2 separate regions of the Mus musculus genome follow, and region 2 is reported to be linked to region 1. The links are microRNA targets in miRTarBase. Many come from high-throughput screens and were not tested one by one. Region 1 holds a microRNA gene; the other region holds the end of a gene's coding sequence.

Region 1 (4,481 bases):
TAGTGGGCTTTTCAAGCTTTAGAAATCCGCTCTGCATTATAATAGCAAGATCAGCACAAAAAGTAGGAACTATAGAGGATCCTGCGAGTGTTGTTTGTGCCCCAGTGTTTGTTCTGGTCATCTCTGCCCTCGTTGGCTCAGAGCTGTCTTCACATTTCTGCTGTTTTAAAAAAAGGGGGGTGGGGAGTTTTGGATTGCTAGGGAGTCACTTACCCAGGTGAGCAGAGACATCTGACCTTGCTTGCAGGGTGGTTGCTGGGCCCGTTGTAGCAGGAGAAATGGCCTTTCCTTGGCCACAGCAAGAAAGCTTCCATGACCTTAATGTCACTTGGGGGTCCACTAGGCAGTTTGGGATGTGTGAACACAGCTGCTCTACCAGAGGAAGCCAAAATCAAAAGCATTTTGATTACCGGCACACTCAAATAGAATTGGGAGTGGGGCACGTGGAAACCAGGCTAGAACAAGCATCCCTGGGTGGTGGGCATGCCGGGAAGCTCTAGAGAAGGGGATGTGGGTACCTGGCCCTGGCTAGAAAGAAGGCCTCCAGCTAGGGCGAAGGAGGCAGACTGCAGCTGAAATGAGACTGAGTCTCGCTCGGCTCAGGGACGCAGCGCAGGCTCTGCACAGTACACAGGTTCTTGTGTCAGCAGGCTTTTCCTGGCCTGGGAATGCTCAGTTATAGATGCAAGCCCCTCCCTCTCCTTCACTTCAGGGTCTCCTACTGCAGGGGTCTGATTAGAGACCTCCCCATCTCCCCCGCTGCAGGGCCCTCTTCCCTGCCTGTTGGCTGCTTTCTGCCATTTCTGAGTAGACCTAGGTGGGAGCTTGTTGTGTGTGTCGCCCTCACGCCCGTGATTCAGGTGGCAGGGGCTGACTCTGTCCTTGCTCTTGGACCAGGAGCTTCACTGATGGCCGAGTTGGGCTTCCCACTTAAACTTGTGCCAGAGCTGCTGGGACCAGTTCCTGTGATCTGCAGGCAAAGGGACGGAAGTTTTATCTTCTGGAGCCAGCCCCTCAGCCTAGTCAAGGAAATCTGCACCCTGTTCAAGCTCCTGGGGTCTGTCTGCTCCTGTGTTGGAACTGGGGACATGTGAGATAGCAGTGGGAGAGGTTAGACCTAGAAAACCCATGGGACCTTCATAACCTTGTTGGTGGGGCCAGTCAGCCTGAGTCAGGTGAGCTGAGGCCAGAGAGCCAAGAAAACCGATGTATAGTCGGGGACTCACAGCCTAGAGGCCTTGTGGTCTGTGCTGGAGTCTGTGAGAAAGTTAATTCTCTGGGCAGCCTGAGGTCAAGACTTAGGCTTTAGCCTGTGTTTAACCCCCAAGTAAGTGACACAGGGTGTTTCTGCCGTGACTGCAGAAGGACCTGTGGCCTGGACAGAGCCTGGGCTTGGTGGCGGTGACAACATCACCTCTGGGGATTCGTGTGTCCTGTGGCAGCTGGTGATGGCCCAGTCTCCTGTTTCTCAGGGATACATCAGATCTGCTGCTCACTTCCGCCATTCAGGTCACTGAGGAGGCAGGGTGCCGCATCTGTCATCTTTGTCTTTTTCAAGCATGGGGCTTAAGTGACATTTTGTGCATTTGAAAAGTCATATCTAGAAGGGGATCCCTAGGTGGGTGTGACCCTTGCCTTGGCACCAAGGTGGTGAGAGCACAGCTGTGCAGAGCTGGACGGGGTGGCCACTATCCCTGTCCTCCAGGAGCTCACGTATGCCTGCCTGTGAGCGCCTCGGCGACAGAGCCGGTGTCCACCCCTGCACTGTCCACAGACCCTTGCCTGCAGACCAGGGTGCTCAGTCGCTGGCTGTTCATGCTGTACCTTCTTGAACTCGATTGTGCAGATCTGCAGGTTGTTCCGTGGATGGAGGGGACTCTGGTTTCTCTGTGCGGTGACGCAAGGCACTGACCCCTCTGGGGTCCTAATCATCTTAACCTACGCAGACACTGAGGGGGAGGGGAGAGGAGCCAGGAGGGAGCCTTCCAGGTCTCTCCCTCTGTGTGTGTCCTCTGTAGCACCAGTTGATTCTACTGCGTGTGACCTATGTCCTGGCAGTTGGTGTCCCTGGGTCACTTCTACATCCACTGTGTTTCAGTAATTACCTCCAAATAAAAAGCTTCCTTTAAAACAAACTCTCTCCCCTCTCTTCATTATGTTGTTGTGCTTTTGCTTTGTCTTCTGGAAATCTTGCTACCGAGTGAGTGCATAGCCGGGCAGCAGTCTGCTGAGGTCTGTGAACCGGAATGGGCTCTCAAGGTCGAACACCTCTGTGGGACCCTGGACTCGGGCTGGCTCCAACTGAATGGAGGAGGGCTGATTCTGGGCTGGGGAATGAGAACAGAGTCCACTGGCCTTGGCACCCAGCTCGTCAGCCTCAGCAGGCTTCGTGGTCTCCCCCCACAAACATCGCTGTCACTTGTAGGCCATTCCCAATGTCTGGGGAACAGGTATAGGGGTGGTAGGGACCAGAGACCATGCCCCAGCCTTGGAGGCACCACCTGGGTATGTGATAGACAGGCCAGGTGCTGGGCTCCATCGACCATCTGCTGTGCCCTTGGGACTCTGTCCTGTGTGAAGCGGGTCAAATGACTGGATTCCCTGCCACTCAGCTGCGCCCCCAGTACAGCTGCTCTGGTCACATGATGGGGTGGGGACAACAGAGGGTCCTTCTACCCTCACCTGTGTTCATCCTTACACCTGACTCAGTCATTCCAAGAAAGAAGGTCCTACAGAGCTGTGTGTCTGGCACTGGCTACCAGGGCCTCTACTGCCAAGGTCTACAACTAACCTTTGAGGGGTTTTTGTTTATGTTTGAGACAGACTTGCTAAGCTCAAGCTAGCCTTGGACTTTCAATCCTCAGGACATATTCACCAACCTCCTCCACAATTCCAAGAACGTTTGAACAAGATGTTTTTGAGCCCAGTGGATGCTCAAAAACGCTGGGCATTGACTGCCTCCCCAGGACAGCACAAATCCCTATTAAGAGAATATCCCCAGTCATACTGCCCCAGCACAGGTGATGCCCTGGCCAGGGCCAGCAGCTCCTTCTAGCTGTGTGGAGAAGGAGAACATCTCTCTGCCCTGTGAACTTCATTGGGGAAGGACAGTGGGCCCTTGCCCTTCCTCCTACACAGAAGGCCTCTTTTACCCCCATGGGACCCAAGGGAGGGGCAGTGGTGGGGTGCTTGAAGCTGCGGTTTGCTGCAGCACCCACCTTTGTGTGCCTCCTCAGCGCCTGAGGCTTCAAAAACAGTAAGGTTCAACCAGGGCTTCCTGATTAAACCTGGGGAACAAACAAGAGAAGCAGGCCCACGCAGTTGCCCTGGTTCAAGGTTGGTCCTGGGTTTACACACAGCCTGGTGAGGGCAAGGGAGAAAGTGCCGCCTGGAGTCTTTGAGCTGGCAGAAAACACCCACTCACCAGGATGCCCCTGCTTACAGATGGTAGAGTTAAGCCTCCTCACCAGCAACAGGCACAAGCAGGCCAGACTCCCCTTACCAGTGTGGCTCAGAATGCCTGGCCAGGACTCTTCTCAACATCCAGAACTCAGGGAGCCTGAGGCAAGATTGCCCCTAAGGGGACGCTAGCTAGCCTGGGCTTTATAATTCCAGGTCAGCTTACCAGCTAACCTACACACACACACACACACACAGGCTGTGCCCTGTCATGGACACCAGGCAGTCTTGAATTTAGCTACCAAGGCTGTTGGGAGATGGTCCAGTTTTCTTCTCAATCTCCAGAGTCACCCAGCAAGCCTTGCCTGTTAGCATGGGACAGAGGCTGCCTGCTCCGCCAGCCCTGGATCAGTGCAAACCATGAGTGGTGATGGAGATGTGGGTGGAGGAACCCTCAGGGTGTGCCATTTGGGAGACTGCTGATGCTGCACTGGCCCCAAAGTGTCAGCCTTCCTTGGCTTTGGTAGGGACAGCAAAGAGCTGAGCCCACCATCCATACAAGGACCCTCCGTGGGTGCAGCATTCGCTCAGGCCAGTGTGCATGTTTTATATGCATGCCTGAATGAGCATTACATATGTACCCAGAGTTCAGAAGAGGACTTTGGGCCCTCTGGAGCTACAATTACAAATGATTGAGAGCTACCATGTGGGTGCTGAGAACCAAACCCAGGTCCTCTGTAAGAGCAACAAGTGCTCTAACCCACCGAGCCATCTCCACCCAGCATGTGTGTGCCACACCCTACCTCTCTTTTAAAAAAGAGCTGGAAAAGAGGGCAGCTCTAATCCCGGGACTCCAGAGGCTACAGAGACAGGAGAAGTGCCAGCCTGGGCCACGTACCAAGTTCCTCTTTGAAAACCAGGGGGCTGGAAAGATGGGGGTCTCAGTTTAGAGCACTTGTCCCTCTTCCAGAGGATCCAGTCTCAACACCAGTACCCATGTGACCAAACCATCCCGTTCTCCAATAACTCCAGTTTCAGGGGACCTGACACCCACTTCTGACATCAGAGGGTACCAGGCACAC
Region 2 (3,000 bases), not on the chromosome of region 1:
TATAGAAGTATTCAGCAATGTTCATTCAGAAATATTGGCGGGAGAAACCAAAGGATCAAGTGGAACAGATCAAAAAAAGAATATCCAAATTGAATTGCAGTCATCTCTTGATGTGCAAAACAGTTTATTAGAAGATAAGACTTATTTAATTGATTGTGAAGCGAGCGCTCCTATTGATAGAGTATGCTCTGAAGGAGAGAGCAGCAATTCAGCAGAACAGGATGCGTATAGCGACTTTCAGGCTGACCAAAATCAGTTACAAATGTCCCATCAGTGTAGTCATTTTAATGTTCTCACGCACCAGACGTTTCTGGGGACACCATATGCCCTTTCATCAACTCGGTCTCAAGAAAATGAAAATTACTTTTTATCTGCTTACAAAAACTCGGGTACAGAGAAATCTCCATTAAGTTAAGGATGTGTTCAAGGAGAAATTACAGTGATTAAAAAAAATAGGTTGTGGTGGACTTTGTATTGATGATTTATAAACAAGTTTCTTGGCCTTTCTGAATTTTTTTTCCTTTCCTGTTTATTTAAATCATGATGGCCTATATAACATTGAAGCATCTGAAAATTTGAAATAATTTTTTGACATATTGTAATCAGATTATCTCATGTTAGCACCTTTCAGTTTTACATTTGTTACCTGTACTTGGGCTTCAAATTGAAGTCTGTTTTATATGTAAAATTTCATGTTTATAAAAGAATGGTAAATAGTAATGACGTTCTTTAATGTCAGATGATAACTAATTTTGCTGAAATGTCAACTATTTATTTTGATTAAAGCTTTTGTATAGTGTTTTTACACAGGTATAAGCCAGCAGTGTAAATATTTATAGGATTTTGGCTTAGTACCTCAAGCTATATTTAACAGTACAGTTGAATTCTAGGTAGTGAATCTATTGTATAGAATACCAAGTAGAATTTTCTCAGTCTTTAGGTTTAGCTGTGAAAACATTTGCTTCATTTAAATTTTGGTTAACTTTTTGAGATCTCTTTGATAAATAATATTTTGTGTGATCCTTTAGTTAAATGAACTTTTAAAAGTGGAGCTTCTGCTTTCAATACTATTGGAGAATTTGGAACAGATCTTGAAGTTTTAATTCGAACTTGGTGTTACACTAAATGTGGAGATAAATTTTTAAACCCTCATCTCTTGCCTACTGTTACTAATGTTAACTTCAAAGTGTGAAAACTAGAATCTCCACTTAATATGATGAAAACCAAATTTACAGAAGAGAAAAACCAGAGTGAAATGAATTTGTATTATTAAGAGTCTATCCTTGTGTTAATAGTACTTTTTATGCCCTAAAAGAACTTTTAATAGAACAAATGAGCAATGCTGTTAGCAGGTCAGGAATCTCCAGATTCTACCCTGGTAAGTAGAAAGTACTTTTATACCCTAACATGACAAGAGATTTTTTTTTTTGAACTATAAACTTTTTTATTGTACTTAGAAAATACATCATTTCACTACATAATGTAAAGTTTGTCATTGTGTGCTTGAAAAATGCTGTTGCGTGGTAAGCATATTTAAAACGAAGAACTAAAATTATCTTCTTGGTTTGCAGTTAAGGGTATGAGATTCGTTTCCAACTCCTTTTGTTTCTGGAGAAGACCCTGCAATCACATTGATATTTTAGTGAAGGTATATAACCAACTTAAATATTTTTTTCTCTTTCAAAAATACATGATACAAAATATCATTGAACTCTCAGGATAGAATTGTTATTAGACATAGCTTAAGTTTCTTTTTTTTTTTTTAAGTAATTCTTGTAATTTGGGTGTTGTCTAGCTAGAACATTTTCTACTATGAGAACAACAGGGATAGTTTTTGTTTGTTTGTTTTTCTTTTCTTTTTTTTGTTTTTTGTTTTTTGTTTACCACTATTGGATTTCTAAAGTGAAATCTACTCTCAAGTGCTCTAAGATCATGAGAAGACACAGTCAGAGTCTTACCATTCCCAGTATTGCTCTCAGCTCTGCTGAACAGCACGAATAAGGGTGAGGTGAAGCACGAACATCCCAGTCCTTCCTTCTCTTGCTCCTTTGTTCACCCAGGTTGAGTCCTGAGCTCAAGCTAGCTATATGTAAGCTCTTAAAGGACACAGGTAAATGGTGTCTGAGCAGAGGGTAAGCACCACACAGGCCAAATACAGTGTAATAGCCTCAGGATAGGTTTCAGCACATTAGCAGGGTTTATTTTTGCCTGTGTAAAAGGTAGTAAAAATGTATAATTTCATTCTTTGAACAGATATATTCTGTTCTTAACTTTAAAAAATGGACCATATTGGTTAAAATTCATTAAAGCATAATTGTATATTTGTTTCTTGGTTTTAGCACTTTATTGTGTTTTGATGTTTTAAATGTACTTTTTTGTTTGTTTGGTTGGTTTTTGAGACAGGGTTTCTCTGTGTAGCCCTGGCTGTCCTGGAACTCACTTTGTAGATCAGGCTGGCCTCGAACTCAGAAATCCACCTGCCTCTGCCTCCCAAGTGCTGGGATTAAAGGTGTGCGCCACCACCGCCTGGCATATGTACATATTTTTAAATAAAAGTTGTCTTAATATGCAAACTGTCTCGGGACTTTGATTCTCAGAACTACTATATGCAGCCTGGACTAGGATCCTCCTGCTTCCCAAATGTTGATTATGCAGGTGAAAATGGTAATTTGAGAGCAAATTCAAGGAAAAAGGTTCTTTTGATTTCTGTTCAAGGTTAATATATAGGAATTGAAAACATAACTGTTATAAACTGGGGTGCAAACACTGCCACCATATAAAGAGAACAAACATCTAAAAACAGTTACTTGGTGAAGAGTGCATACCTGTCTTAGTTCTGAAAGCCCCTTAAGGATAGCTTGCTGTCGGTCCCTGTTTTTCACTAATTTAGGATTAAGAAGTGGATCCCTGATATGGTCAGAGTCAAATAGCTCTTGTTCTCGGGCACAATCTGAAGGATAGATAAATTTTACAATAGTCAAATAAATTACTTAGGACTTA

The links. The annotated mature microRNA mmu-miR-339-5p reads UCCCUGUCCUCCAGGAGCUCACG and lies in region 1 at 1,692-1,714, shown strand. An mRNA with a match to its seed (bases 2 to 7 or 8) in the 3' UTR can be bound and repressed. Matches are read on the target gene's strand: a 7mer-m8 pairs with bases 2 to 8, a 7mer-A1 pairs with bases 2 to 7 and ends in A, and an 8mer does both.
Region 2: miRTarBase lists Tasor as a target of mmu-miR-339-5p. Seed matches in the 3' UTR shown: 7mer-A1 at 1,822-1,828 and 7mer-m8 at 2,399-2,405.

Annotation. Positions count from the first base shown.
Region 1 is chr5:139,366,941-139,371,421 of GRCm38, reverse strand. It overlaps Mir339 (microRNA 339), which reads left to right and starts at 1,677; the gene lies at 1,677-1,772. The region is part of intron 2 of 3110082I17Rik (RIKEN cDNA 3110082I17 gene); the gene reads left to right.
Region 2 is chr14:27,480,983-27,483,982 of GRCm38, forward strand. It overlaps Tasor (transcription activation suppressor), which reads left to right. Exons shown (of 24, transcript NM_001114879.2): 24 at 1-2,573. The coding sequence ends at 415. Ccdc66 (coiled-coil domain containing 66) reads right to left here. Exons shown (of 18, transcript NM_177111.3): 17 at 2,826-2,950; 18 at 1,419-1,620. The coding sequence ends at 1,534. Among named protein-coding and RNA genes, the nearest start is that of Ccdc66, 26 kb to the right of the region's middle.